7 linked regions of the Oryctolagus cuniculus genome follow. The protein of the gene in region 3 interacts with the protein of the main gene of each other region in a biochemical or structural test. Links are inferred from orthologs where the notes say so. Each region holds a gene or a part of one and is shown on either strand. Other genes may lie near its edges. The genes, in order: SMARCA2, MXD1, SIN3A, SMARCA4, ZBTB16, TAL1 and KLF16.

Evidence for each region.
Region 1: the proteins of SIN3A (region 3) and SMARCA2 form a complex in vitro, tested with the Homo sapiens proteins (2 studies listed by BioGRID). The link is inferred for Oryctolagus cuniculus from reciprocal best matches to the Homo sapiens genes SIN3A and SMARCA2.
Region 2: the proteins of SIN3A (region 3) and MXD1 form a complex in vitro, tested with the Homo sapiens proteins (4 studies listed by BioGRID, with this or other methods). The link is inferred for Oryctolagus cuniculus from reciprocal best matches to the Homo sapiens genes SIN3A and MXD1.
Region 4: the proteins of SIN3A (region 3) and SMARCA4 form a complex in vitro, tested with the Homo sapiens proteins (2 studies listed by BioGRID). The link is inferred for Oryctolagus cuniculus from reciprocal best matches to the Homo sapiens genes SIN3A and SMARCA4.
Region 5: the proteins of SIN3A (region 3) and ZBTB16 form a complex in vitro, tested with the Homo sapiens proteins (3 studies listed by BioGRID). The link is inferred for Oryctolagus cuniculus from reciprocal best matches to the Homo sapiens genes SIN3A and ZBTB16.
Region 6: the proteins of SIN3A (region 3) and TAL1 form a complex in vitro, tested with the Homo sapiens proteins (2 studies listed by BioGRID). The link is inferred for Oryctolagus cuniculus from reciprocal best matches to the Homo sapiens genes SIN3A and TAL1.
Region 7: the proteins of SIN3A (region 3) and KLF16 form a complex in vitro, tested with the Homo sapiens proteins (2 studies listed by BioGRID). The link is inferred for Oryctolagus cuniculus from reciprocal best matches to the Homo sapiens genes SIN3A and KLF16.

Annotation. Positions count from the first base shown.
Region 1 is NC_091432.1:164,360,317-164,363,644, reverse strand, and holds the end of SMARCA2 (probable global transcription activator SNF2L2), read right to left. Parts: intron 2,619-3,328; coding exon 2,476-2,618; intron 2,442-2,475; exon of another isoform or gene 2,336-2,441; intron 1,366-2,335; coding exon 1,330-1,365; 3' UTR 501-1,329; downstream 1-500. UniProt on the Homo sapiens protein: ATPase involved in transcriptional activation and repression of select genes by chromatin remodeling (alteration of DNA-nucleosome topology).
Region 2 is NC_091433.1:132,738,366-132,741,865, forward strand, and holds part of MXD1 (max dimerization protein 1), read right to left. Parts: intron 3,284-3,500; coding exon 3,169-3,283; intron 1,777-3,168; coding exon 1,617-1,776; intron 1,369-1,616; coding exon 1,181-1,368; 3' UTR 1-1,180. UniProt on the Homo sapiens protein: Component of a transcriptional repressor complex together with MAX. In complex with MAX binds to the core DNA sequence 5'-CAC[GA]TG-3'. Antagonizes MYC transcriptional activity by competing with MYC for MAX binding.
Region 3 is NC_091443.1:108,567,923-108,571,422, forward strand, and holds part of SIN3A (paired amphipathic helix protein Sin3a), read left to right. Parts: intron 1-1,111; coding exon 1,112-1,350; intron 1,351-3,370; coding exon 3,371-3,500. UniProt on the Homo sapiens protein: Acts as a transcriptional repressor. Corepressor for REST. Interacts with MXI1 to repress MYC responsive genes and antagonize MYC oncogenic activities. Also interacts with MXD1-MAX heterodimers to repress transcription by tethering SIN3A to DNA.
Region 4 is NC_091447.1:66,695,000-66,699,135, forward strand, and holds the start of SMARCA4 (transcription activator BRG1), read right to left. Parts: upstream 2,801-4,136; 5' UTR 2,773-2,800; coding exon 2,633-2,772; intron 1-2,632. Other genes in the region: protein YIPF2, read left to right, coding at 3,118-3,148, 3,471-3,640, 3,716-3,793. UniProt on the Homo sapiens protein: ATPase involved in transcriptional activation and repression of select genes by chromatin remodeling (alteration of DNA-nucleosome topology).
Region 5 is NC_091432.1:105,951,504-105,955,539, reverse strand, and holds the start of ZBTB16 (zinc finger and BTB domain-containing protein 16), read right to left. Parts: upstream 2,801-4,036; 5' UTR 2,473-2,800; intron 2,413-2,472; exon of another isoform or gene 2,212-2,412; intron 1,518-2,211; exon of another isoform or gene 400-1,517; intron 1-399. UniProt on the Homo sapiens protein: Acts as a transcriptional repressor. Transcriptional repression may be mediated through recruitment of histone deacetylases to target promoters. May play a role in myeloid maturation and in the development and/or maintenance of other differentiated tissues.
Region 6 is NC_091438.1:125,621,153-125,625,296, reverse strand, and holds the start of TAL1 (T-cell acute lymphocytic leukemia protein 1), read right to left. Parts: upstream 2,801-4,144; 5' UTR 2,740-2,800; intron 2,734-2,739; exon of another isoform or gene 1,754-2,733; intron 253-1,753; 5' UTR 92-252; intron 1-91. UniProt on the Homo sapiens protein: Implicated in the genesis of hemopoietic malignancies. It may play an important role in hemopoietic differentiation. Serves as a positive regulator of erythroid differentiation.
Region 7 is NC_091447.1:58,917,212-58,921,359, reverse strand, and holds the start of KLF16 (Krueppel-like factor 16), read left to right. Parts: upstream 1-1,348; 5' UTR 1,349-1,498; coding exon 1,499-1,934; intron 1,935-4,148. UniProt on the Homo sapiens protein: Transcription factor that binds GC and GT boxes and displaces Sp1 and Sp3 from these sequences. Modulates dopaminergic transmission in the brain.

The sequences.
Region 1 (3,328 bases), on a different chromosome or scaffold from region 3:
TACTGTGCCAGCAAGTGCCTGGCACGTGACCTGAGGCATATCCGAAAGTTCTGTCCCAGGCCTTACCGCTGGGGAGGTGGGAAAGGGCTCTGGAGCGAGCTTACCTCCCGAATCCACCTTTGGTGTGCTCAGCCCACACCGTCTCCACTGCTGTATTCCTGTTTGTAAAATGGGAACGGGAAGTGCCTTCAGAAGGCTCTGAAGCAATGCGACCGACAGACAGTACTACGCTGGCACCTGGGAAAGAACTAGGCCTATTTAATGCCTGAGGAAAGGCTGAGCAGTGCCTTTGTGTGGCCTGGCCCATGGCGCCTCCCTCGTGGTGCACACACACCTGAATTCTCATTCTCTCTCTCTCGTCCCTTCCAAGGAGCCTCCCTGGCCCCCTTCAGGAAACAGTCCCCTCAAGCATGAGGGGGTCACTCCCTTAGGACTCAGGAGTAACAGGCAACACTGGAGAGCTATGGTGTCTCGTTACTAGGAAAGCACCAACGCCACGGTTTTGAAATTACTGGAATTTTATTTGCCTCAGGCTTATGACTTGCAACCAAAGACATTGTGCAAAGAAAGCAAAGATTAAGTACACTTTAGGGAGAAGGAGACGATACACATCGGTAACATAGGAGATCAGGTTGACCAAAAAAGCCATCCAGTACACTATATAGATTGCAATATTCAATAGCGTTTTCAACAAAACTTTTTTTGAAATCAAGAGCAAAAAAAAAATTTAAGCAATGTTTACAGTAGACATAAATCTTATACAATTCAAAAAGCATTGTTTTCAGATCATAGAGCATAAAATGGAAAAATGTCTATGCAGGTGAAATGTGACTACTGTACATTTATCACCTATTAAAGTTGCTTATATGTACCACAGTGTAAAAAAAAATACCGAACAAATAAAAACCTGGAAAATTGCCTGATGAAAAATAAAATAACCAGTGGCTTTTAATGGCTTCTCCTGGTTATCAGTGCTACAAAAGACAAAAATCTTCTCATCTGAACGGGTGATAAAACCAGGCACAATCAAACTATTACCAAATTAGACCCACCCATAGAAATATACTATCCACCCACATATTTTCCATCAAAAGATTGGTTTGTTTTTAATCTTTGAATCTTTGAGGCCCATTTGGTCACAATATGTTACAAATGTTGTGTGTGTGTGTTTTTACACCATGATATCATATGTTTGTCTGGCACTATCCTAAAGCTAGTTTATAGATGAGGATGATGACAGGGCCCAGTGCCACTATGACAAGTAGGTTCACTGGGCAGAGAGGGGAAGGAAGGAAGTCAGTTTTACCAAGGAAAAAAGGTCCAGACTGTTCATTCATCATCAGTCCCGCTTGCTTCCGACTGTTCCTAGAAGGAAAAACAAGAGGAAATGAAATAAAATCCCAGGAACGAGAGGAGACACCTTAATAAGCCATGGGCAGGCAGAGAAAGAACAAACGGCCTTTGAGAAACAGCGGAGGCTCCACATCTTTCTGCAGGAAGACAGAAGCACACCCAAGAGGCACTGACAGCAGTAAGGCCAAGAAGAGGGCTTGTCATTAAAATCCCAATGCCACACGCACCCCCACTTTTGCTAGTGGGTGCTCCCCTTCAGTCTGGGTTTACAGGTTTGTGGCTAAGTACTCTGTGTTTTTAGCCCTATGCCTTGGAAGATACATGGGAAGGAAAAACATCATGTATTTCCTGTCTGCTCCACTCGTAAGTGGTATGAGGAAAACACAGGGCTTTCAATGCATTTGAAAACAACTGTGCCCAGTGGTTAAGGCTGGTGTAAGATGATGACTCTGAAACTTACCATCATACTAACATGGACATGAGTTCCCAGAAAGAAAAAAAAAAATTGGCAGGGAAAGTAGAAGGAAGGTAGGGCAGGTTCAAATGCCACTGTCCTGTGCTGTGCAGACTTGGTCTGATTTCAGCTCTGCTGGTCACTTGCTAGATGACCTGCAGCAAAATGGCTAAATCACTCTCATGTTTTGAGAGTGGCAGCACACGATGCTGGGATAAATATGTACCAATACAGGAAGGCACCTATTTCCAGGCCTCAATCAATGCTCCCTGAGGTTTTTCAAATATTAAAAAAAAAAAAAACCCTTAGGTGCTTAAAAAGTCATTTGGGTTTTCATATGGCACCTTACTGAGCAACTCAAGTCCAAAACTCCGACATCCCAACACCTTTTCTCATTCTTCCATCTACTATATACAAGGCAGCACGACAGGCGTGATATACAAAATATGAATCGGCCATGGAGAAAACTCAATTTCTAAGATGAAAAACTACAAAATCGAGTTCTCTTCTCCCCTTTATTTTCTGCAGACTACTGAAGCAATGCACAGAGCCCCCAGATCTGTGGTCGAAGTCCTGCCGCTGTGTTCCCGTCCTTCAGGGATGGCATCTCGCCCATCGACTTTGTCACCCACAGGTGAGAGGGAGCAAGATGCCAGCACTGCACTCACGTTCTCATCCTGCTCCTCGTCGCTGTCAAAGTCGCTCACGACAGGCTTGGCTTTTCCTCGATTTGGCCTTTTCTTCCCTTTTCCTTTGTCTCGGCTTTTCTCATCTTTTTTATTGAGCTTGATTTTCACCTTAACCGATTTCGCTATGCAAGAACAAACGAAAGAGCCATCAGTGAGGAGACACGCAGCAATGCTTTTCACGAACCAGTGACGAGGCGAGCAGCCACCGATGACTGGCCACATGGTCAGGGTGCCTAGGAACTTCCCAGCTCCTGCCGTCCTGTCCAGTCGGTGGCCCCACACACGCACGCCTCTCTTTGGCAGATGAACGCTGTCACAGTACACAGGCCACGCGAGGGAAGGTGGCCTCCCAGGCAGGGTCCTTCTTTCCGGGCTCCTGCAGGCAGACGGCGGGAATGGGAAGCGCCTTTCCTATTTCAGGGAAGTGTTCAGGATGCATTTAATGGGGGGAAGGCTGCAGAGGATGCGTGCAGATCACTCTAGCAGATGGAAGCAGAAGGAAAATACCAATAGTTGAATAATACTTTTACCACAGGAAGTAAGAGAGTAAACACTCCTCTCCCTCAGCCTATTATTTCTAGGGCGGTGGGGAATGTGTGACAAAGGTGCTTCAGCCAGTTCATGGAACAAGGCATTAAAGGATAAAAATCTGTGAAATGCATGCATTTTTCTGCACACTTTCTGAAGACCTCTCCTATACCTGAATTACTTATGTACTTATCCCAATAGGATCTTTGTAGCTGGTTATATTTCACATATGTGGGATGAGTGTACCCATCAGCTCATGCCTACCTTCCTCAATGTTTGTACCACCTGAAAAGACCCCCTTGTA
Region 2 (3,500 bases), on a different chromosome or scaffold from region 3:
ATGTACATATACATGTGCTCTGTTTTAGCTTAAATAAAAATGCTACAAAGTGGGAGACCACTTAAGGGAGAAATCATAACCAAAAAGAAAAATCAGCCTTTTAAACTATCAGCCCAAAAGCCTCCAGAAAGAAGTTTCTGGGTGTATCCAAAAATAATCAAGAAGGAGAGGGATTCTAGCAACCCCGTCCCGTCCCCTCCTGTTCACCTGCAACACAGAGAGTAGAAATGCGGACTTTCTCTTTCACTGATGATGGCCACCAGCTCAGCTAGTGCCAAAGCTCAGTTATTGCTGAAAGTTAAATAGGAAAATAGATTAGCATTGGACCAAATGTCACTTATGGGGGGGGGGGGGAGAGGCATAATCACTTTGTGTTAAGTGGGAAATGGAGATCTCATTTATCTCTGAGGTAGGAAAAAAAAAAGTTCCAGAGACAAGTAGCACTGACAAACTTTGAGGGGAAAATGTGCCTTGAGACAGCGGTACACAGCAAGGTCCCATGAACACTGCACAAAAACACATGGTGCCGTTTTGTTTGTGAGAACAGTGGTGGAACCTTCCTCGGCTGTGCGAGCCCAGAGACACGCTGTCGAGTGGGAAATACTGCTCCCATCCAGGGCGGCGGCGACCGGGGTGCGCGTGGGCAGGTGGCAGGGCTGTTTGCCGGAGGTGCTCCTGACTTCCTCGCGGGGGCGAGGCCCACGGCGAAGAGCTCTCGAAGCTTCCTTTGGAGTTCTGAGGTCAGGATCTCCACTTGGAAAGCTGGTTTCCTTCAGTCTCCTAAGCACAAGACACACTCAGACACTTCTCCCAGGCAGGTAACACAGTAAGCCAGAGAACTCGGCAGAAAAGTCTGGTGGACGACACGGGACAGGAGAGGAGACGGGGACTTGCTGAGATGCGACAGTTGCTCGCTCGGTCTAAAGAGTCTCGGGTGCTTCAGACTGACTGGAATGTACAGTCTCTCAGAGACGGATTGTGATGGAGAGAACGAGAAGCTAGCGGGTGCCATCCGATGCCCACAGGCCTAAGCACTTCCTTGGAAACTGTGACCCAGCTGACTGTGTAGAGGTGGGGTACACGGACGTTGACGTGCGAGGGCGAGGCGGGCAGGTCCAGTACACTACCTAATCAGAGCCGACAGGGAGAACCATCCAGGGGGCGGCCGGCACACGCGCCCTCAGAGCCCGAGACACACGTCCTGGCTGTCCTGCAGCTTTATTCTCTTGACGCTGGCGCTGGAGTAGCCCTCGTCACTGCCCAGGCTCTGCGTGCTGGCCCGCTCGTCAGAATCACTCACGCTGCTGCTGCTCCAGTCCAGGTCGCCCGTGAGATAGTCTGTGCTCTCCACGTCTACATCGATCTCCTCTGCAGACGGGGCGGGGGGAGGGGAGAGGGGGGAGGAGATGGGGGGACACACACACACACACACACCCGTCAGTGAGGGCGCCTACAGAGCTCACAGGCTGACGGTCAGACCTCCCCCAGCTGAACCCTTCTTGGCCGCTGCTACCTAACGCTAAGGGGACAGAGAGATGCCCTCGGGTGGGCAGACACGGCCCTCAGCGCCCCACCCGAGAGCAGCGGGAGGCGCACGGAGGGGCCGGGTGGCTCACCCCTGTCGGAGTCGGAGCGCTCCGAGGAGACGGTGGAGCCGATGCTGTCCATGCGGACCCTCTCAATGCCCAGCTTCTCCAGCTGCCTCCTCAGGTGCCGCTGCTCCCGCTGCAGCTGGTCGATTTGGTGGACGGCTCTTCTGTCACAGTCTTCAAGTTTCTGCAAGTCAAAGGGCCGAGTCCTAAGCTGCCATGCCGCACCTTCCCGCCCTGCAGGGAAACATGCTGGTGTCCTCAGAAGCCGTTTGCTGTGGCAGGAAGTTGGCTGGCCTAACCTCTGCAGCACTGCCGTGGCTGTGGGCACGCGCCCTCACAGCGATTCTGGGTGAGCTCTGACACTCTGGCCCCTGCCACCCCTCGGTTTGGGTATGGAAAAGACTGCAGGCCGGAGTCTCCAGCCTGGTCTTCATACCCATCGCCTGAACACCCAAGCTCTGGGAACACCCCAGCTTCACCAGATGGAAGCTTGAGGAACACCCATCCGTTCAAAATTAAGGAGGTTCCTTTTCTCTCGGAATTGTCCTCAATGCAGGCTACCAACCACAATTCAGTGATATGTGTGCTGGACAGCGACGTGGCGGTGGCTCTCAGGAGTGTGGGCACAACTCGCCTTATCAGTGCCAGTCACCTGGGCACTGAGGGTCAACCCTGAGCTGGATTCTCTGGGAGGGCAGGGGCTGGACAGAGCACAAAACCCAGGCCGCTTCCCTCGTGGAATCTACAGGCAACTCAACAGACACACAAACCACCACCAAATGCCAACTGTGGCAAGTGCTGGGACAGAGATACCCAGACATGACCACCTGTCACAGAGAGAAGCAGACTGAGTCAGGAAGGCTTCTCTGAGCTCATGAGACTCGTGCTGAGATCTGGAGGGTGGGTAGTGGACAGTTAACAAGGTGGAGGAGACAGGGAAAGCATACTGACCAGAGGCACTGGCACGCACAAAGGCCCTGTGGTAGAAGCACACGAGTGCAAGAGTCTGAAAGATGGGCTGGACAGAGGGGAGTGTGGGGACAAGATGATGCTGCAGGTGAGGGCCAGGTCAGGCAGAGCCTGGGGCAGGCCTGGTGCCAGTTTGTCCTGAGCCACAGAAGAGCTGTAACTGGGCAAGGGGTTAATTTGAGCTTTAGAAGGAAGGACCTAAGGAGAGCAGATAGGAAGGGAAAGAGGGAAGGGAGACAGCTGAGGAACTGCACGCAGTGGACGGTGCTAGGTGAAGGTGGAAGCCGACCAGGGTGTGAAATATGGAGGCCTGGACGTGGCTCAGGTGTGGTGGCTAAGGAACACGAGCTACCGAGAACGCCGAGTTTCTGGGTGTGCAACTGGATGGCGAGCTGGCTGGATCCTTCATTCCTGGAGTGTGGGGTTGAGAGATACTCGGATGGTTTTGGACATGCTGCATCTGCGGTGTCTTTGGTTCATCTAAGAGGTGGGTTGGAGGAGCTCAGGGGAGAGGACTGTCCTGGAGATAGTCTGTCCCTCACAACAACAGAAACACCCTACTGGAGAGAGAAGCTAATGAGGCACCCCAGCATAAAGCGGCACTTACCTTTATGTGCAATTTGGCTTTTGTTAATAAACTCAACGTAGTGTGTCGATTTGATTCGGGCCCAAGTGGCACCAGCCCCTTCAGCTTCTCCAGGCACAAGCGAAGATGAGCCCGTCTAGAAAAACAAGACCGCAGTAGCATCTGAGAGTTTCACAGTGGGCCAGCAGGCAACCCGGGAGGAATGAGTCCTAAACGAAATGAGGCCCAGGCCCAGGGATGGCAAATACTGCCAATGACCTCTCGCCAAATAAAGGCCTTGTGAACCCAGACAGCTCTGGTGAAAACCAAAGGGAAGTGAACTCCAGTGGTATTCTAAGTTACGTCCATCTGTG
Region 3 (3,500 bases):
TCCGTGGGGATTAGCAGACTGCGGGGCCTTTCTTGGCTGCCCGGGTTAGCCAGGCTCAGTGTGCATCTTTGTGGCACGGTGCGAGTCCTCACTCCCGACCACTGTGCCTGCCAGCGGGGGGCAGCAGCCTCCTTGCCCATTGGCGCCGGCAAGGGCAAGGAGCAGTGAGTTGTGGGCTGTGTTTGAGGGATGACCTGGGGAAGGTGAGTTCCTGTATCAGTCAGGACGCTGTAAGACAGCTTCCAAGTCCAGGGACCTGGGAAAACGGGGTTCATGTCCAGCTGGGGACTTGGCTCTGAGGATGACCGCATCTGGTTGTGAGAGGGAAAGAGCTAAGAAGGATCTGAGATGCCGGAATGCTCCCACCCGGAGCAGTACCAGGACTTACACTCGTCTCACAACTCGGTTGCCACACTAGATACGGGGCCCCGTGCGATCGTGAGAGATTTAGAGAGTTCAGTCCGTTGCTCATCCATAATTGGGAGCGGGGTCCTGGAACAAGAAAACGTGGGGGACACCTTTGCACACTGCTCATTGCTGCACCCTCTGTCCCTCATTTAGACTCTGTGTGAAACCTTGGAGACGGGTAGTCTAAGGCGTGCAGTGCCAGATGAGCGAGACCTCTTCCAGAAAATAAGTGGCCAGAGTAAGAATTCAAGTGGTTACCCCCAGATAGAATGTGGACTCCACGAGAAGTGAGCGCCAGCGCTCAGACTACTGCTGGCTGTGGAGCAGGCTGTGTTGAGTGGTGTTTGGTGAGGGATTTCAGCAGTGCGTGACGCTCAGGGAGAGTGGCAGCAGGGTGGCTCCCGTGTGCCCCTCTGGTCTGTAGGGTCAGCTGTGGAGAGCAGGGCACAGTGCTGTGAGGGACCACCGCCGCGTTCTCGTCTTGGCTGGACGTGTCTGAGTGCCAGCTGCTGTGCTGGACTCTTCGTGTAGATCGTACAGTCAGTCCAGAACAGCCTCAGGAGGACCCCGGGTGCTGCCGCCTTTGGACTGTGCTGCAGTGGCAGAGCCGGGCTTGGTCAAGGAGGTGAGCGTCCAGCCCGGGTCTCTGACCCCGCCGCTCTGTTTTGGTTTGGGTGCTAAGCACCTTTGTTTCTCTCTCCAGCTGGATGTAGTTTTGGAGACCAATCTGGCAACCATCCGGGTTTTGGAAGCAATACAGAAAAAGCTTTCGCGCTTGTCTGCCGAGGAGCAGGCCAAGTTCCGCCTGGACAACACGCTTGGCGGCACGTCGGAGGTGATCCACCGCAAAGCTCTGCAGAGGATATATGCCGACAAGGCCGCCGACATCATCGATGGCCTGCGCAAGAACCCCTCCATCGCCGTGCCCATCGTCCTCAAGAGGTGCCTGGGCCGGGCCCTTCTGCTGTCCTGTGCTGCGCCCAGGCTCAGGCTCCCCTTCAGAGCTCCTGCTGGCCTGAGTGTCTCCCCAGCCCTGGTTGTTGGAAATTGGGTACAAGCAGGAGAAGGGACCTTGTTGTGAAGGTTCTGTGTAACCAGCTGTAGAGAGCAGGTGTGGGGCTGTTGTGAAACACAGGGAGAGCCGGCCGGCGCGCGGCTCACCAGGCTAATCCTCCACCCGCGGCACCGGCACCCCAGGTTCTAGTCCCGGTCGGGGTGCTGGATTCTGTCCCGGTTGCCCCTCTTCCAGTCCAGCTCTCTACTGTGGCCTGGGAAGGCAGTGGAGGATGGCCCAAGTGCTCGGGCCCTGCACCCACATAGGAGACCAGGAGGAAGCACCTGGCTCCTGGCTTCAGATCGGCACAGCGTGCCAGCCGTAGCAGCCATTTGGGGAGTGAACCAATGGAAAAGGAAGACCTTTCTCTCTCTCTCACTGTCCTAACTCTGCCTGTCAAAAAAAAAAAAAAATACAGGAAGAGCCAAGAAAGAAATGACCCATGTTCCTACCGTTCAGTCCTAGCTGTTATGAAGATCCTGGTGTGTTTTATAATAAAAAATCACTCTTCGTAGAATTTTTTTATTTATTTGAAAGAGTGACGGGGAGAGAAAGAAAGAATAGATGTTTTCCATCCACTAGTTCATTTCCCAGAGGGCTGTAATAGCCAGGGCTGGGCCAGGCCCAAGCCAAGAGCCCAGAACTCCATTCTGAATGCCCACACAGGTGATAGGGACCTAAGCACTGGGACCATCTGCTGCCTTCCCAGGTGCATTAGCAGGGAGCTGGATTAGAAGCAGGGTGGCTATCACTTGAATTGGCACAGCATCACAGGCCACGGCTGCGCCTTCCGTGCCACAAGAGTATTTGTAAAAATTGAGACATGCTCGTGAAAACAGTGTTTGCCATTTTTACCAAGAATGTTTGTCCTGATAGACCAGGCACGGTTGGGTGTGGAGGGCTGAGTACCCACCTAAGGCTTCAAGCAAGAGACCACAGGCAGGGCTGAGCTCCAGCGTCCTTTCTAAGTTCATGGCATTCCTTTTTTTTTTTTTTTTTTTTTAATTCTTTATTGGTTTTTAATATTTGAAAGGCAAAGAGACAGGCACAGACTTCCCATCTGTTGGCTCACTTCGGGAATGTCTGCAGTGCCGGAGGCGGAGGCCAGGAGCTGGGAACCCAATCCAGGTCTCCTGCATAGGTGTTAGGGACCCAGCCACTCAGGCCGGCAGCACTGCCTCCCAGGGTTGCATTGGCAGAAGCTGTGTTGAAGTTGGAGGCCAGAACTGGATGTTGAACCCAGGTCCTGGCAGGCGGATGTAGGCCAGTTGCCTGCCCCCATTGGTACTCTGACCGTGCTGTGACGCTTTGGCTAAGAGCTAAATCCTCTCGGTATCACCTGGCGAACGTTGATTGTTTGCTGCACAGCTCACACAAGTCCAGATTTTACCTTTCGTCCCCAGCCTTCCCCTAAAGAGCAGGCACACGCTGCGGATTATTCCTCTAGCCAGTAGTGTTTGACGTGTGGCTTCTGAGGTGCAGATTAGCCTTTAGTTCTGGTGCTGTGTTGGTTTTCATTCTTCCCTGGAGCCTCAGAGTCAGGGACTCCGCTTGGAGCTTTGCGGACTGTGTCCAAGTGTAGGAGAGGGCCTAAGGCTCTCCAGCTGTCTGAGGCAGAGAGCCCCTTCTTGAAGGAAATGCACCCTCGCCCCAGGGGGTTTTCTGGGGTGCTGTTTGGGAAGTAACTAGATTAGATTTGTGGTTGTGGCACCAGTTACTGCCTCAGAGTGCGTCCTGAATGGCTGATTCGCCACGTGACAGTCCAGGCCGGGTCTGATGACATTTGCCCCTCGCTGTGAAGGACTCCAGCAGCCCTAGTGATCTTTGGGTTGGAAGTCAGCCTGGCATGCCTCTCCCTTCTGGGCCTGAGTTCCCACTTGTCGCTGTGTGCACCTCCCTCCCACGCAGGCTGAAGATGAAAGAGGAGGAGTGGCGAGAAGCTCAGAGGGGCTTCAACAAGGTGTGGCGAGAGCAGAACGAGAAGTACTACCTGAAGTCTCTGGACCACCAGGGCATCAACTTCAAGCAGAACGACACG
Region 4 (4,136 bases), on a different chromosome or scaffold from region 3:
CCACAGATGGACGCCGTTGTCAGACCCAGCCACAGCGTGGTGCGCCCCTAGCGGCACTGCGCCGTGGTTCCTCTGGGCAGGGGCGTGCGTTGGCCTGTGCGTCGGGTCACTCTGTAAGTAGTCCTCATGGCAGCCTGGTCCTGCGGATCCTCTCGGGGCTCGTGGTCAGCACCATTTTTCTTTAAGATTCTGATGTGAGTTAGGGATTTTCCACCTGCAGGTTCATTCCCAAACGGCTGGGGCTGCGCCAGGAGCTTCATCTGGGTCTCGACAAGGGTGCAGGGGGCAAAGACTTGGGCCAGCCTCCGCTGCTTTTCCAGGTGCACTGGGAGGGAGCTGGATTGAAGTGGAGCAGCCGGGACACAAACCAGCACCCGTACGGAATGCTGGCCTCCCACGGTGCAGCACAAAACTGGCCCCAGCCAATCTTCTCTCCTAACAAAGGTGCGGTTTAACTATTTTTAAACTTTCCTGCATGGCCCACGGGGGGCAGGGGCCTCAGCTGTGGCCTTCCCAGCTGCACGCTGGCAGGAAGCGGGAGTCAGAAGCCGATCCAGGACCCTTACAGGCCCCGCGACACGGAATGTGTGTCTTGACCCATGTGCCACACGGCAGCCCCGGGAGGCAGGATGTCGGTGGTCGCTGACAAGTGACCACGTAGGATTAAATTCTGAATTCTCATTTGTGTTGTTTTGAAGGTTTATTTATTTCAAAAGGGAGAAGAGACAGAGAAAGAGGTCTTCCATCCACTGCTTCACTCCCCAGATGGCCACAAAAGCCAGGGCTGGGTCACATGGGTGGCAGGGAGCTGGACGGGAAGTGGAGCAGCCGGGACTTGACCCGGCGCCACGTGGGATGCTGGTGTCAGGTGGGGGCTCCACCCTCCGCGCCACAGCACTGGCAACGCGTCCTTCCAGTCCTCACACTGACTTCTGCACCCCAGATTCACTCGGAGCCCAGACAGCAGTAGTGAGTGATCTGGGCAAGAGGTAGGGTCAGAGACGACCACAGCGAGCACCCGACACCACGCTCCGGGCTGTGCAGCGCGGACGAGCCGCGGCGCTGGGCCTGGGAGGCGCAGACCTGAGCCCGGCTCGGCCTGAGGTGGAGCCGCCCACTGCGCAGGCGCTCCGCGCCCAGAACTCAGGCCAGAGGCCACCGCGTGCGCTCTGCACAGAACCACGCTGAGCCAGGCCGCTTCTCCTCCGGGTTTTATTGACCATCACGGCTCCATCGCTCTCCGCGATCCAGCTCTAAGCGCGGTTCCCGTACCCCTCGCGGTCCGGGTCCCGCGCCCTCGCCCACTCCCTTCCATAGAAGTCTTTCTGCGTTGCTGGTTCCCCACAAACCCGGAACCTGCGACTCCCTCGGGTTCCCACACAAAGAGCTTCTTCCTCCACGTCCTCGCCGGCCCCGCCCACACGGCCGGTCACAGCCGGCTGGCGCGGGATGCGGAGACATTCACAGAGAGGAGACAGACCCCTCCCACCCGCAGCTCACTCCCCAGACACCCGCAACAGCAGGAGCTCCATCTGGGCCTCGCACACGGGCGGCCGGGGGCCAGGTCCTGGGGCCCCCACCTGCCGGCCCTGCAGAGCGCGGTGCGCGGGGGGCAGAGCGGCGCCCGCCCCAGTGCGTCCGTTCCTGCGCACGGCTCCCCGTCGGGTCCTGGGGCGCCCACGCGCGCGGCCGATGGGGGGGGGTCGCCCGGGTCAAGAACGCACAGGACGCCTCCACAGTACTTTTCCAGCTTCTATTGCAAAGTAAACACAAGACACAAGCGGGGACGTCCGTCATGCAAACAGGAGGCCAGGTCCACGCACGGGACGAGTCCGACGTCTTCGGCTCGGGGGTCGCGCTCCCGGGCACGGCGCCGCGGGGCTTCACCGCGCGGCCTCCGCCTCGCTCGCGGCGAGCCGGTCTCTCCTCGCCCGCTGCAGCACCTGCTCCTCCCACAGCGCCTGGTCCACCTGCTCCGCGGTCAGCACCACGGGCAGGTACTTCTCGTCGAACAGCCGCTCGTTGGCCTCGGAGCGCAGCTGCTGCGGCCCGACCACGCGCAGGTGCGCGGGCAGGTGCGCGAACTCCTCGTCGTTGACGTCGCAGTCGCGCATCCGAGCGCCCAGCACCCACCAGCGGCCCACGAAACCCACGTCCAGGACCCGGCCCGGGAAGTCGGCCCAGCGGGGCTGCAGGTAGCGGCAGCGAGCCTGGTAGAGGCTGGCCTGGGGGTCGCAGGGCGCCTCGTACACCAGCGAGCAGAGCCCCAGGTTCACGTGGCGCAGGCGCCCGCGGCCCCGAAGCCACAGCAGCCGCTGCACGAAGCCCTCGGCAGGCCGGCTGCGCGTGGCCGGCGCCAGCAGCAGCAGAGTCCCCGACGCGTCGAGCAGCGCCTCCTCGAATGCCGCCTCGCTGGGCGCCAGCGAGCAGCAAGCCGCCGCGCCGCCCAGCAGCGCCGCCCACGCCGCCGCTCGCCCCGGCCGCGCCCGCGCCGCCGCCGCCGCGTCCCGGCAGGCTTCGGCGTAGTCCCTGAGCAGCGCGCGGGCCCAGGCGCCTGGGAGGAAACACGCGCCATCAGAACCGTCCGGGTACGCTGCGGACACCCCCACCGCCGCCTTCCGCCCCTACTTACCCAGCCGCGCCCACACGCCGGGCTTGGCAGCCGCCGCGTCTCCCGCTTCTCGGCGTCCTCGGGCCCAAAACCTCTTCAGAGCGGTCGCCGCCATCCTCTTCCGGTCTGAGGTCCGTTCTCCGGAAGGAAACACCCGGCATCCGAAATAAAAGCTCCGGGCAGTGCCTTCTGCGCACGCGCCCACGCTACCGGACGTGGCTTCCCGCCGGAAGAGTATAGAGAACAGACCGGCGCCGGATGTTGCTGTCCGGAGCGACCCGGCTCGCTTCGAGGGTGGGCGGGCCGCGCAGGCGCACTTAGTCGCAGCCACGCCGGCCGAGGCAGCAGCAGGTGGGCAGGGCGGGGTCCACCTGTAGGGGCCAGGACGGCGAGTGTCAGCGCCCGTGGGTGCCGTTAGCCACTACGCAGTGCTTGGAGCCGGGGCACAGGCCCCGGGAAGGGAGCTCCGTCCTCAGAGCGGGATGCAGTGAGGACGCCCGGCGACCATGGCAGCGGCCGACGAGCTGGCCTTCCACGGTGAGTGCGGCCCGCGCGTGCCCGGCGCCCCCACTGCGGCCCCTGGCCGGGCAGCTTCCGGCTCAGAGTTAACCAGAATCCCAGACGGTGGTAAACCCTGACCCCGGATCTGAAACCCGACCCCCGCGTGAGACCCACCTCCATCCACCTCCACTCGTGCCCCGGGCCCGTGACGTCCCAGGACCCATCCCAGGACGAACCCTACATTGCAGCCCCGGGTTCGCCTAAGGGGACAGCTCTCTTCCCCGTGCCCCCAGACTGGCTCGGGGAAGACCACCGAGGTGGCCGCGCGGTACACCTGCGTCCCATGCGCCCTCCCCAGAGTTCGAGGAAGCCACCAATCTCCTGGCCGAGACCCCCGATGCCGCCACCACGAGCAAGAGTGACCAAGTGACCCCCCAGGGGCACGTGGCAGTGGCCATGGGCTCGAGCGGCAGCTACGGCGCCGAGGAAGAGGAGGAGGCGGAGGAGGAGGGCGGCGACAAGGCAGCGGTGAGTGGCCCAAGCGTGGCCCAAGCGCTCGTGTCCCCCAGGCTGTCGGGCAGGGACTGACGGTGTCGGGTGCAGCTCCTGCAGGAGAAGCCTCAGCCCGGATTCTGGACCTTCGGCTACTACCAGAGCTTCTTCGACGTGGACACTTGGCAGGTGAGGCTGGGGCTTGTCGCGCGCGGGGCTCAGTCCCGAGCTCTCAGGGCAAGGCCTCGGGCCGGGGAAGGGGGTGCCGGGGCAGCAAGGAGGAGGGGAGGAGTGGGCCAGCCAGGAGGTGATGAGAAACCAAGGCTGCAGAGCTGGGACCTGTTCAGGACGGCAGAGCTGGACAGAGGCGCAAAGGCCTGGGGCGGGGCTCCGGGAGGGAGCGCATCCGGAAGGGCCCAGGGCCTGGGGTGGGGACGCACCTGCTGCGCACGGTGGCGCTGCCCTGGGCAGGTGACAGGACCAGCGCTGAGCCGAGAAAGGGTCTGCAGATAAGCCCGGCCGGAAACCCAGG
Region 5 (4,036 bases), on a different chromosome or scaffold from region 3:
CCCTCCGCCTCCTGTAACCTCACCTCCGATACAATGCCTTTTTTAAACCCTGCCCCACTCTGGCAGCCCCAGGAACCAAGCAAAAGTGCAATGAGGGACTGGCAGGCTGCAGTTGTGGCCCACAGACACCTCCAGGCTATGGGCTGTCCTCCCCGAGCCCGCCCTCTCACCATTGGCTGTTACCTTCCCGGGCCTCTGTCCCCTGCTCCAGGCTGCCCCCGGCCCTGAGCTCCTTCTAGGCTCACAGCAACACTCATGTAACCTGCACACACTCACTTGGGTCACTTCCATCCACAGCGACCTTAAAGTGACAGCATATGGAGCCCCCAATCTGGACTCTGTGTCACTGTGTGCCCGCCAGCCAAGAGGGACAGCATTAACTCAAGAGCCCACACTCACCCTCCTGTCCACAAGTGCTCAGGGACAGGAACGGCAAAAATCTGAAGGCCAATGGGCCAGGCAGTTACAAAGAGTAATCATAAGAAAGGGCTTTCCAACAGCCAGCGGTGCCCAGGCTGGGCTGGGCGTGGCCTCCAAGTCTCCCAGAGGCTCCCAGGAGTTGGCAAGTCCTGTGACCAGGAGCAGCAACTGATGCTGGCCAGTCTCAGAGGTGCTGCAAGTGACACTGGCACCAGCATCCATGGTGTGAGGACAGGGCTGGGAGACAAAGGTCTCTCCCAGAGCCTGGTCGGGACTCCGCACCCCGTTCAAGGAGTACCAGGAAGCCTTGGCCGGCCAGGCCCCTCCCAACTTCTCCCTGGCTGCAGATATCGCAGCAGTGCGTGACGGCGGCGAGCAGAGCCCGCGCGCCTCACTCCTCAAACACTGCTCCTCACCACGCCCAAAAGCAGCCCTACTGGCTCCTAAGGCACCTAGCTCAAGCAGAAAGAAAGGGTTAACGGGGTTGGCTGGTCAAGACACTTTAGCTGCCCAGCCCAGGGTGGGGACCGTGGCCACAGAGAGTGGGACGGCCATCCACGCACGCCTCGCTGCCCTGTGCTTTCCTGCAGACCCGGGAGTTGCAGGAAAACAGGAGGAGGCAACCGAAGAGAATGGAAGTGCCCCTTTCCTCCAAACCAACCCTGTAGCTCCAGAGGGAGACCACGGTGCCCTGGGTCAGTCGTCCCCCCGCCTGACCCGCCGCTCGGCGCCCTCGATGCGGCCGGCGCAGGCTGCGGCTCCACTCCCGCGGCTCGGGGGAAAGCCAGCACTCAGCCGCCCGAGCTGCGGGCACCGAGCACGCGCGCACACGCCCCGAGCTCCCAGAGACCCCCGCCGAGACTTGGAGACGAGTTCGGCAAACTTGGGGAAGCAACTTTTCCTGGGGAGTCAGCCGCCTGAAAGGAAAGAAGCCGAGCTAGGGAGAGGGAAAACGAAAGAGAGCAGGCGAAAGGCGACGAGTCCGGCGGGCTGGGAGACGGACCCGGCCCGCCGCGAAGGGGCAGCACAAAAGCCCTGCAGCGACTCGTGCGAGAAGGGGAGATAAGGGGATCTCCGGGCTCCCCCGGCTCCGACCCAGGGCCGTGACCCCCGGGGAGCAATGAGCAAGGTTCCCGGTTTCGGGCCAGCGGCAGCAGCCGCCGGGCGTGCCGGGCCCGGGGACGTGGCGAGCGACCCGGGGAGGCGGCGAGCTAGCCGGTGCGGAGCGCGTCTGTGCGTTTCAGTGGGTCGCAGGCCGGCAGGATCTGCGCGTTTAGGGCGCGTGCGGGAGTGCGCCAGGGGCTGCGAGAGCCGGCCGCTGGCGCGCCGTGGTGGCAAAGGCATCCCGCACGCATCAGGTGCAGAGCCGGGGCGCCCACCGAGCGCGGCCGGGAGCGCACGGCGAGCTCCGGCGCCACGGCCAATCCTGCCGAGAGCCGAGGAGGGCCCGGAGCACTGGCGCCCCTCGGAGCTTCTCTCCCTCTCCACCCTACCCCCCCCAAAAAATGGGGGATCAAGTCCAATCAAGAAAGAAGGGCCCACTAGGATTTTTCAAAGAGAAAACAAAATCCAAACGTGTCCCAATCCTGCTCGCCTCGGCCCCAGATCCACTCGCCAGCCCCTCTCAGTCTAGCTTCCCAGCCGGCCGGCAAATAAACAAATAAATAAGCCACAAGCCTCGCTCACGCCCGCGCAGCCGTCCGCATACATATGAGCCCCCACCGGCCCCTGGCTGTATAAAGCCTCGCGATCCCCGACCCTATGCTCGCGCCCCAGCTCCCCGCCTCTCACCCGGACCGTGCCCTGCGGAGGAAAGGCTGGGGAGGCAGCTGCGCCCAAGCTGACAGCCGGGGCTCCCCTCTTGGAGCTGACCCCAACCGGTGGCGGCGGCGGCTGCAGCGCAGGAAAGGAACACGCGGGATGAAATAAGGTCCAAGCGCAGCGGCCGAGTGGCCCGAGCGGACGCGCCACCCCCCCGACCTCTCCGGCCCCGGGGCGCCCGGGCGCGCGGCGCTGGCTGGGCGGTGCGCCCCTCCCCGGGCCCCCACTCACCGCTGCCGAGCCGGGCGCCGTGGGGTGGGCGTGCGGGCCTGCCGGGGGGTGTGTGCCTGCGTCGGGGAGGGGTGTTGCTGGAGGAACTGTTGCTCTCGGGTTCACGGCGGCAGCGGCGGCATCGCCCGGCAGTTCGCAGTACCCGCTCTCATCGCCCTCAACTCCTGTGTGCTGTGAGGTTAGCAAATCACCACCGGCTGCGGCGCCTCCGCCGCGTCTCACGTCAACGCCGAGCCCCCTCCCCTGCGAGGCCCCGGCGCCTCTCCATCTTTAGTGCTGGCGGCCGAGCCCGGCTCCCTGCCCACAGCTGCCCCCTCCTCCCCCTCCCGCGCTGTCCCCGGGCTCAGCCCGCCCACCCCCCGCGCCGGCCCAGCCCGTGCGCGCTCCCCGCCCCACCCGCTCTGCCTGCGCGGCGCTCGGCGCCCCGGGCTTCGCCTGACACCTAGCTGCTGCTGGGGCGCCGCGGCCGCCGCGCTCCGGCCCAGCCGGGAGCACGCCAGGGCCGGTGATGGGGAGGCCGGGCGGGGGCTCGCAACGCTCCGTGCGGGCCCTGGGGGGCCAGGGGCAGCTCCCACCTCACTCGCAGCTTTTTCATTGCCACTGGGCGCGGATTTGTTTCTCCCACTCCGGCGCTCCAAGCGCGGGGTTTTGTGCTGGGCTCCAGCGTTTGCCCCCTAGCCTTTCACTTTTTCTCCCGCTTTGCGCCCGCCTCTCAGGACCCCTGTTTGCCAAAGTGCCCAGCCCACGCCCAAGCGCCTTCAGCCCCTCGGACCCCGCGCGCCGCCGGGCATGAGCATCTGGGGGCAAGAAGTCTCGGGGCGCAGAGCCAGCGGGTTCTACTGAACTAGGTGCCAGGGGTTCCCGAGGATGTGCTGTCCATGGGGGCGCCCCGTTTTGGCAGCCGCGGTCACTGGAGGCTGAGGTCGAGACCGGAGAGAAACTTTTTCTTCTTCGGCTCAGTCCCTCTACCCCCTAGACGGACTGCTCAGCGCAGTCTTCGGGGCCGGTGGCAGCTTGGAAACGCTCGAGACCGCCCTGCAGGGCGTCCTCCTCCCGGGCTCCCTAGCCCCCCCCCCCCCCATTACCCCTCCGCACGCACTCCGGAGGGCAGAGTTCGCACCGCTAACCCCCGGGAGCAGCCACCGTAGGAAACCGGCCTTCCCCGAGCTGCGGAAAGCTCCCTTCCCCCTCTTTTTTATGGAGCCAGCCGGAGGCGCGGGGCAAAAGGTGGGAAGCGCTCTTCCCAGCGCCGTGCAGGCCTCCGGCTGGAGTCCAGACGCTAGGAGGATGGGGGCGGCAAGAGCGCCATCCAGGGGTCTCAGTGCAGTCAGTCCGCGACGTCAGGCGGCTTTAGCAGCGCCAGGCGTCAGTCACTGAATCTGAGTGTTCCCTCCTTGCCTGGCGGGTGGGCCAAAGGTTTTCCGCAGAACTAGCGTGGAATCCCTGGCACTGGGCCGGCCCTAGAACTGTGATGTGATGGAAGGTAGCAGAAGCCGGACAGAGACAAAAAGGGGAAGACCTGGGGGCAGAGTTTGCATATTGGAACTGATCCGAACTCACAGAG
Region 6 (4,144 bases), on a different chromosome or scaffold from region 3:
CCCCACCCAATCCCAGACTGGGCCCGCTCGCTGCGGGAGTCTTGCCCACCCCAGGCGGAGACCCAAGCCTTGCCCCCCCCCCCAAACTTACCTGGGGCATATTTAGAGAGACTGGCCCCTCTAAATAGGGTCCCTACTCCTCCACCAGAGAGGGGCGGTGGCTGAGGTCGCGACTGTGGATGGAGGCGTCCTCGCTTTCCTGGTCGCTCCCTAAGAGGCCAACAGTTAGGCTGCCGTGTGGTCCTGGGCGGACTGCCGCGCCCAAAGCGAGTTTCCAGGAAAGATGGGGGTGGAGAGAAAGAGGGAGGGCGAGAGGGAGGGAGAGAGAGAAATGGGGGTCAGTGGCTGGGAATTACCTCACGTCCCCCACCCCCCAACCCGTCCAGGGATTCGCAAAGAGCCTTCCACCCCCAACCTGCAGGTGTCTGGAGCCTTCCCCGTGAAAAGAGACCCCTCCGCCTGACCAATCAGCTACAACGATTTAGTGCGACCACTCCCGGCAGCGCGCCCGGAACCGGGCCGCCTCGGAGCCCTCCACCAGGGACGGGCCTGCCTCAGCGCGGCCCAGCTTGTTTTCTAAGCGCGGACGCGTCTATGCGGTTTGCTCGGCCACCCAGGCCAGGCCCGAGCTGCCGCCACAGTCGCAAGGGACAGCACCGGGGCTGAGGCGGATGGAGGGTGGGGGTGTTGGGAAAGGTTAATGCCGTCTTCAGACCCTGGTCCAGAGGGCAGAACCGCGGAGTACCTGTTCTCCAGGACCCCCAGCTCTCCACGTCCACCCCAAAACGAAACCAGAACCCAATTCCAAGGGCTGCAGTTTGCCGCAGGAATGGAGTCACAACGGGGGGGGGGGGGGGGATGAATACGCGATCTATTAGGGGCCTTTTTTTTCCTACTAAGGCGAAGAAAAAGAGGCAGAGGGGAGGAAGGAGAAGAGGAGAGGAGGAAGGAAGAAGGAGGGAAAGGGAAGAGAAGAAACACCAAGAAAAGGGGAGAGAGTCCCCACCCTCTCCACCGCCCCTACAGAACAGGTTTCGATTTTTCGGGATCTCGACGGGCAGAACCCCAAAGATCCGCCGCAGCACCGTGCGCGGCAGAAGGGCGGGCGGATAAAAACAAACCGATTCGGTCGACGAGGCTGTAGCCCAATTCCGGTCGCTTTTATTCCCCCCGCCCCCGGTGGGTTCTGTTTAATACGGTTTGCCCGCACCGTCCGGCGCCCACCGCGAGGGCCTCTTCGGTGCCGAGGCTTTGTGGAACAATTCTTCCTCGGGTTCCCATCCACCGCGGAGGCTTCCTTTCTCTTCGTCTAATCCCGTTGGGGGAGGGGAGGGGGGCCACCCATCCCCGTTGTCAGCCTGGAGGGGACGTCTGCTTTATGGTCGACTCTAGGCGCCCGTCCTCTTCTCCATTTTCCTCTCCCTACCCCGAACCCAGCAACTTAGAAAACGAAGCCGGGAAAAAAGCCCGCGTCGCTTTGTTCTCCCCGCAGAGACGCTAACGGGACCCAGCGACCGCGCTCTCGGACGATTATTTTAATTAAAACAGGCCGTTAACGAGGAAGAGGACAGCAGCGGTTACAGTAAAAGGCCAAACAAAATCGCTTCTTCCCGGGCTGGAGCAGAGCTGAGCCCGCCCTTGTACGAAGCCGACGCGACGGTCCCGCCGCGGGGAAAAATGTTCCCTCGCGAGCCGCGAAGCTTGGAGCGGGACCCCTCCCCCAGACCCCGGTGGCCGCACCCGCAACACTAACCCGAAATGGACGAAGCCCGCGTGCGGCGCGAACGCGGCCTGAAGGTGCCGGCCTGAGCGAGCGCCGCTCGGCTTCCAGCCGGGAAGAGCCGCCGCTCACCGGCGCACCCCTCTGCGCCGAGGCACCGACTGGCCCGGGCTCCGTCCGCCCATCCCCGTCTACGCGGGCTCCAGAATACATCATAATTTGGAATAAAATGTGAGAGCCCGCTCCCCGCCCCCCATGCCGCCGCGATCCCTCGCTCGCCCTCCCCCACTCCCGCCCCCAACGATTTTGCGCGGGCAGCGCCAAAGGACGCTAGCGTACGGGCGCACCCCTCGGCACGGCCGGGGCCCCACGCGACGGCCGCCAACACACATCACGAGCCGGCAGGGTCAGGCCCGCGCACGGTCCAGTGCGACACAACGAAATCACACCCGCGCTGTCGCCCACGGACGCGCAACCCGACCCAGCCGGGAGCACGCGCGCCCGGCCAAACAACGACACCTCCAGGACACGTCCGCCGCCGCCGCCGCCGCCACGCAGAGCCGCAGCCCAGCTCACACGGCCCGCGAGCGTCGGCGAGAGCTACAGTCACGACGAGGCGGAAGGGCCTCGCGGGGTCCGGGGCCACGCACCCACGGCGCACACCACGATACTCGGACACGCACCCTGCGGCGGGACGGCCTCGCTCGGGAGCAGTCGACATGGCCCACAGCGCCCACGCGCGCACTCTCCACCCCACCGCATGCACACAACACCGGGGAGAAATGAACACCAACCGCCGCCGCGCGCGTTGCTGTGCGCTGCGTAAGGAGAAGGGGAAGGAAGGAAGAGTCGGCGGCGGCGGGAGGGGCGGGGGCGTCCGTGGAAAATGCCCCCCACGGAAGGGCCGCGAGGAGCGGGAACCCCCCTCTGCGGGCGTGGACGGGGAGAAGGCGGACTGAGGAGGAACTCGGCGGGAGGCCGCAGGTCGCTCGTCCCCGGCCAAAGGCCCCAATGCTCACGTTTGTCCGCTGCGGGGGTGCGCGCGTGGCCATTTTGAGGCCGGGCCCGGGCGTGAGGCCGGCCCCGCCCGCGCCGCCCGCCGCCCCGCCCGCGCCCGCGCCCGCGCCCGCGCCCCGCGCCCCGCGCCGCCCGCGCCGGGCCCCGCCGCGCCGCGCCGCGCCGCGCTCTAATCCCGCTCACGTTCGGGGGGCCTCGTTAGCATGGGCCGAGGCGCGCGGGGCCGTGTGCGCCGCGGAGATAAGGCACTGCCGCGGGTCCGCCCGCCCCCGATAAGCGCCTCGGCCATTATGGGCCAAATGATTCATTTTAATTTGGCAAATTCACCGGGGGTGGGGGTAGGGGGGAGGAGAGGGGACCGGCTCCGGAAGGCGCCGCGTGCGGAGCTGCGCGCTGGCCGCCCGGGCAGGCCCAGCCTCCATTTCGGATCCCGAGGCCTCGCGGGAAGCCCCGCGCCCCCAGCCACAGGCCCTCGGCCTTCCACAGGCTTCCATTGAGCGACTTCCATTGAGCCCTTGGCTCTGTCCCTGACTCTGAAGACTGCGGCAACACCGAAGCTGCCACCTCCCAGTCCTCCCTCTCCAGGGTCCCGGACCCCTGCAGATCTGATCCCAGAAAGCCCCCAGCTCCTCCCTCCCCGACCCTCCAACCCCTTTAGCCCTGGTCCTTTTCTGCTTTGAAAATGGAGCTGGCAGCTCAAACCCAGAGGACTCCTGGGACGGAGTGGTGAGGCCTGAGCCCACAAACACCACTCCTGCATAGTAATTTTTTTAAGTTAGTTTATTTATTTGAAATACAGAGTTACAGAGGCAGAGAGAGACAGAAGTCTTCCATCTGCTGGTTCTTTCCCCATATGGCCGCAACGGCCAGAGCTGGGCCAATCTGAAGCCAGGAGATTCTTCCAGGTCTCCCACGTGGATACAGGGGCCCAAGGACTTGGGCCATCTTCTGCTGCCTTCCCAGGCCATAGCAGAGAGCTGGATCGGAAGTGGAGCAGCCAGGACAGGAACCGGCACCCAAATGGGATGCTGGCACTGCAGGCTGTGGCTTTCCCATTAAGCCGTAGTGCCAGCCCTACAGAGTGTTTTTAACAAGCATTTTAATCTTGCTACTGGACCCCATTCTAAGAACTGCACAGATACTAACTTATTTAATCTTCATAAACAACCCTGAGAAGGGGTTATTATTTTCAATTGCGTTCTGTCATCTTTGTATCATCCTTAATTCCAGATAAGGAGCCTGAGGCACAGAGAGAAAAAGCACCTTTCCCAGTGTCGGAGACCTAGTGAGCCGTGGAACCTGGTTTCCAGGAAATTCGGCAAGAGGTCTATTCTGTGTTCAGCTGATGAAGCGGGGCAGCCAGAACCTAGGCTGGGCTGGGGGATTGCACTGCCCTTACGGTGGGAA
Region 7 (4,148 bases), on a different chromosome or scaffold from region 3:
CCCCCAGGCCCCTGACCGAGGGCGGGACGGTTTGCCGGGCCCGCGATGGTTCACCCGCGCACACAGGAGGCCCAGCAGCCATGGTCCTGCGGATGGGCTCTGCTGGGCCTGGCCAAGGGGCACGTGCGTCCCAGTGGCCCCGTCGCAGCTTCCCGAGGGCCAGGCCTCCTAAGGGAGGCCAGCGGGCATGGCCAGGTGTGCCAGTGGCCAGACAGAGGGCAGCTGGCGGGGGTGGCAGGCGGGCGGGGCGGAGGGGGCGCCCCAGGATGGGACCAGGGCCAGGGCCGCTGTCCACACCCAGTCGGGGCAGCTCCGCCCCCTGGAGGCCGCGCCGGCCACTGCACGGCCTTCCTGACCGGCGGGAGCCGGGGAGGGCGGGAGCGTGGTCGCCCGCTTCCTCGCTCACAGCCCGGGCCTAGACTCTGGGTGACCGCGGCCGTCTGCGACCCCTGAAGTCCTCCCCAAAGCTCAACAGCACGCGCTGGGCGTCCTGGGGGGCGCTGGCCCGCGCCCCGAGCGAGGGTCCTGGCTCGGGACCAGAGTCCCATCAGGGCGCCCAAGCTTTGCCTCGCCGCCCGGAGCCCGGCCCCGCGCCGCGGGCCTCCCGGCGCCCCCCACCCGGCGAACCCCGGCCGCCCCACCCCCGTGGGACAAGCACGAGCCACTCCAGAGCCGGGCGCAAAAACAGGAACCAGCAATGGCGCGGCCGAGCGGGCGGGCGGGAGGGTCGGGCCCCCACCCCGCCGGGTCCCGCCGCGGGGCAGCCGGTGCCGCGCGGGGTTTCGGGCGTGGCGGCGGGTGCGGGGCCGAAGCGGGGCCCCAGGCCGGGGAAAAGGTGGGGGGGAGGGTCGCGCACGTGGCCTGGGGGCGGGGCCGGCCGCTTCCGCACCCCCCACTCCGGCCACGTGGGGATCGCAGCCCTCCTCCCATGGCGAGCGGGGGCGCGCCCGGGGCCAAGGTGGAAGCGTCCGGGCTGGGGGCGGGCTCCCGCCGGTGGCGCGCTCCGGCGCGGGGTGGGCGCGCCCGCGGGGAGGCTGGGGCCGGGGCGGGGCGATCCGGGCGGGCGGAGGAGAGGGGGGCGCGCCGGCAGCGCGCTCCTCCCGCGTGGGGCGGGGGCCGCCGGAGAAACGATTGAGCGCGCGCGCGCGCGCGTGGGGACCCCGCGCTCTCCAGCGCCGGGGTGGGCGCGCCCGGGCCGGGCTCCCCCGCCGGCCCCGCCCCCGCCGGCCGCGCGCGGCCCGCGGGCTGGTGGTGGAGGGCGCGCCGCGCGGGGGGCGTGGCCGCGGCGCCCCGAGGGGGCGTCCTCCGGGCGGGGCGGGCCGCGGCCGCCCCCGCGGGCTCCGGTGCGTCAGGGCGCGTCAGGCGGGGCGGGGCGGGCCGAGCGCGGGCGGCGGCGGCGGCGGCGCGCGCCGGGCCTCCTCCTCCTCCGCCTCCGCCTCCCGCACTCGAGCAGCCGCCGCCGGCCGGACGGGCGCCGCTGCCTCCTCCTGCGCCCGGCATGTCGGCGGCCGTGGCGTGCGTGGACTACTTCGCGGCCGACGTGCTCATGGCCATCTCCTCGGGCGCCGTGGTGCACCGCGGGCGGCCCGGCCCCGAGGGCGCGGGCCCCGCCGCCGGCCTGGAGGTGCGCGCCGCGCGCCGCGAGGCCGCCCCGCCCGGGGCCCCGGCGCCCCCGCCGCCGGCCCCCGGCGCCCCGGCCGCCGCGCCCCACCTGCTGGCCGCCAGCATCCTGGCCGACCTGCGCGGCGGGCCCGGGGCCGCCCCGGGGGGCGCCTCTCCCGCCTCCTCCTCCTCGGCCGCCTCGTCCCCGGGCTCCGGCCGCGCCCCCGGCGCCGCGCCCGCCGCCGCCAAGAGCCACCGCTGCCCCTTCCCGGGCTGCGCCAAAGCCTACTACAAGTCCTCGCACCTGAAGTCGCACCTGAGGACGCACACAGGTGAGCCGCGCCGGGGCCCTCGGTCGCCCCCTCCCCCGTCGGGACCCCGAAACTGCGTGGCGCGTGGGGGGCGGGGAGGGGGCGCGCCCGGGCCGCCGCCGCCGCCGCCGCCGCCGCGCCGGCCGGGAGGGCGGGGCCCCGGTGGGTGGGGCGCGCCGGGGGGCGTGGCGGCCACGCGGTCGGGCGGCCGGCGGAGGGCGGCCGCGGCGGCCGGGGTCGGGGCAGCCGGCCGGACCGCGCAGCCCCCCGGGGAGCCTGGCCTGGCTTCTTTCTCGTTCCCTTTCGCCCTGCGCCCTGGGCGGTGGGCGCCGCGGTCGGAGCATCCGGCCTCAGTTTCCTTATCCGAGGAGGGGGAGACGGCGCGGGGTCTCCCGGGAGGGCGCTGGCGCCGGGCCAGGGTGGGGGTGCCCCGCACGCCGTCTCTCCCTTCTTCTGTGCTCGACCGGGGTGGGAGGCGGGGCTGGGAGCCGCGCGCCTCGGGAGGGAGAGGGCCTTGGAGAGGGGCTCCTGGGAGGGGACCAGACCCCTCCGCTCTGCCCCCGTGCTGCCCCCGCACACCCACTCACCTGTCGCGGGGTCCAGGCGGTGGCCCGGCTGGAGGGGCCAGCGGTCAGGCGGCACTGGGCCCCTGGCAGGCTTCCCCGGGGGTCGCGGGGACGCTAAGAATCCCGCGCTGGGAGTTGTTGGGTACCCCCCCCACCTCGGGACTGGGCCCTGGGCAGGTGGGCATCGGAGGCCGTGGGCGAGGGCGTGGGGGTAGGGGGTGCGCGCCCCTGTCTGTGTAGACTCTACAGTGGGGGTGGGAGGGGGTGGTGGGGGCGGCACTGGGAGAGGGCTTTGTCCCGGGCTGCGGGGGGGGGGGGGCAGGCGGGATGGGGTCTCTGGTTCATGCCAGGAGCCCCCGTCACTCTCTCTGTGGGGGGCATCCTGAGTGTGGGAGGCAGGGGTCTGCACTTCTGTGGGTGACGTTTGGGGTCCCCCGCGGAGGGCTCCCGGGCCCTGGCTGGTTGGGGGTGAGCCTGGGCTGAGGGCAGGCAGGCCCGGGGGTTCCCAGGGTGGAGGTCGTGAGCTGGCCCCAGCCTGCTTGCCCAGCCTTGTCTCTGCCTGGCTTGGGTGGAGGGAGAGGCCAGTCATCCTCCCACGGGTGGACGAGAAACCGAGGCGTGGGGGTCCTGTCCCCGAGCCCCCCTCCCAGCAACAGCCTCAGGACCACCTGTGGTGCTGTGTGACGCCAGGGTCCCCTGGACGCCCCTGGGGTCACTGAGCGGGTCCGGGGAGCAGGCCGCTTTTGGTGGAAGGGGTTGGGGGCTCCCGGCTCCCCCACCCTGCACCTGAGACCCCCGGGACCAGCATGCTGGCGTCCACGGTGTGCGAAAGATCTGGTGAGGAGCCGTCATGAGGCACCGGCTGGCTGCAGAGCCGCCCCGGGCGGGGGGCCTTGACCTGGGAGAGGGTCCTGCCCCTGCCCCCCCTTCCTGGGGACCTGCCCCCTCTTCTGCGGGATCCCCGGCCGGCAGCCTGGGGCTGTGCGCGAGGGCCTGGCTGACGGGAAACGTGGCGCCCCCGTGGCCCTGGAAGGGGCAGGAGAGGCAGGAGAAGTGCAGGGTAGCAGCCCCCCTGCACCTGGCCCGCAGCCCCCAGCCCTGCCAGAGAGCTGCGTGGAGCCGGGAAGGACTTTGGAAGCTATGGGAGATGTTGACGCCGTTGCCATGGATACGGAGCAGGGCGCGGGGGCGGGGGCGGAGAGAGGCTGCCAGCCACCAGCTCCTGCACCCCCGGGGCGGGCGGGCGGCTCTCCCAGCCCCCCTGAGCCGAGTCCCCGGTGGGAGGGGTCTCTGGTCCCCACTCCTCACCGCCTGGGGCTGTCCTGCGCTCCACACGGTGCCCCTGGCCCCCACCCCCTCCGTGTCCGGAGCAGCCCCCAGGTGGGACAAGCAGCCAGGCCCCCAGCGTCACCCCCGGCTGTAGCCCACCATTTATGTTGAAGCCCTGTGTGCCGAGGCCTGAGTAGGTGAGCACCTACTGTGTGCCAGGCGCTGATGAGAGGAGAGGGCTTCCTGGGGGCGGAGGCTCCCGGGCTGGGGGTGGGGGGCCCTGGGGCGCAAGGTGAGGGCTGCACTAATCCTGGGAGTGGAGGCTGGGGAGGCAGGCCCGGCTCCGACCAAGGCGAAAATCCGGTTACAGAGGAGGGATTAGGGTGGGGGAGGGGCGCGG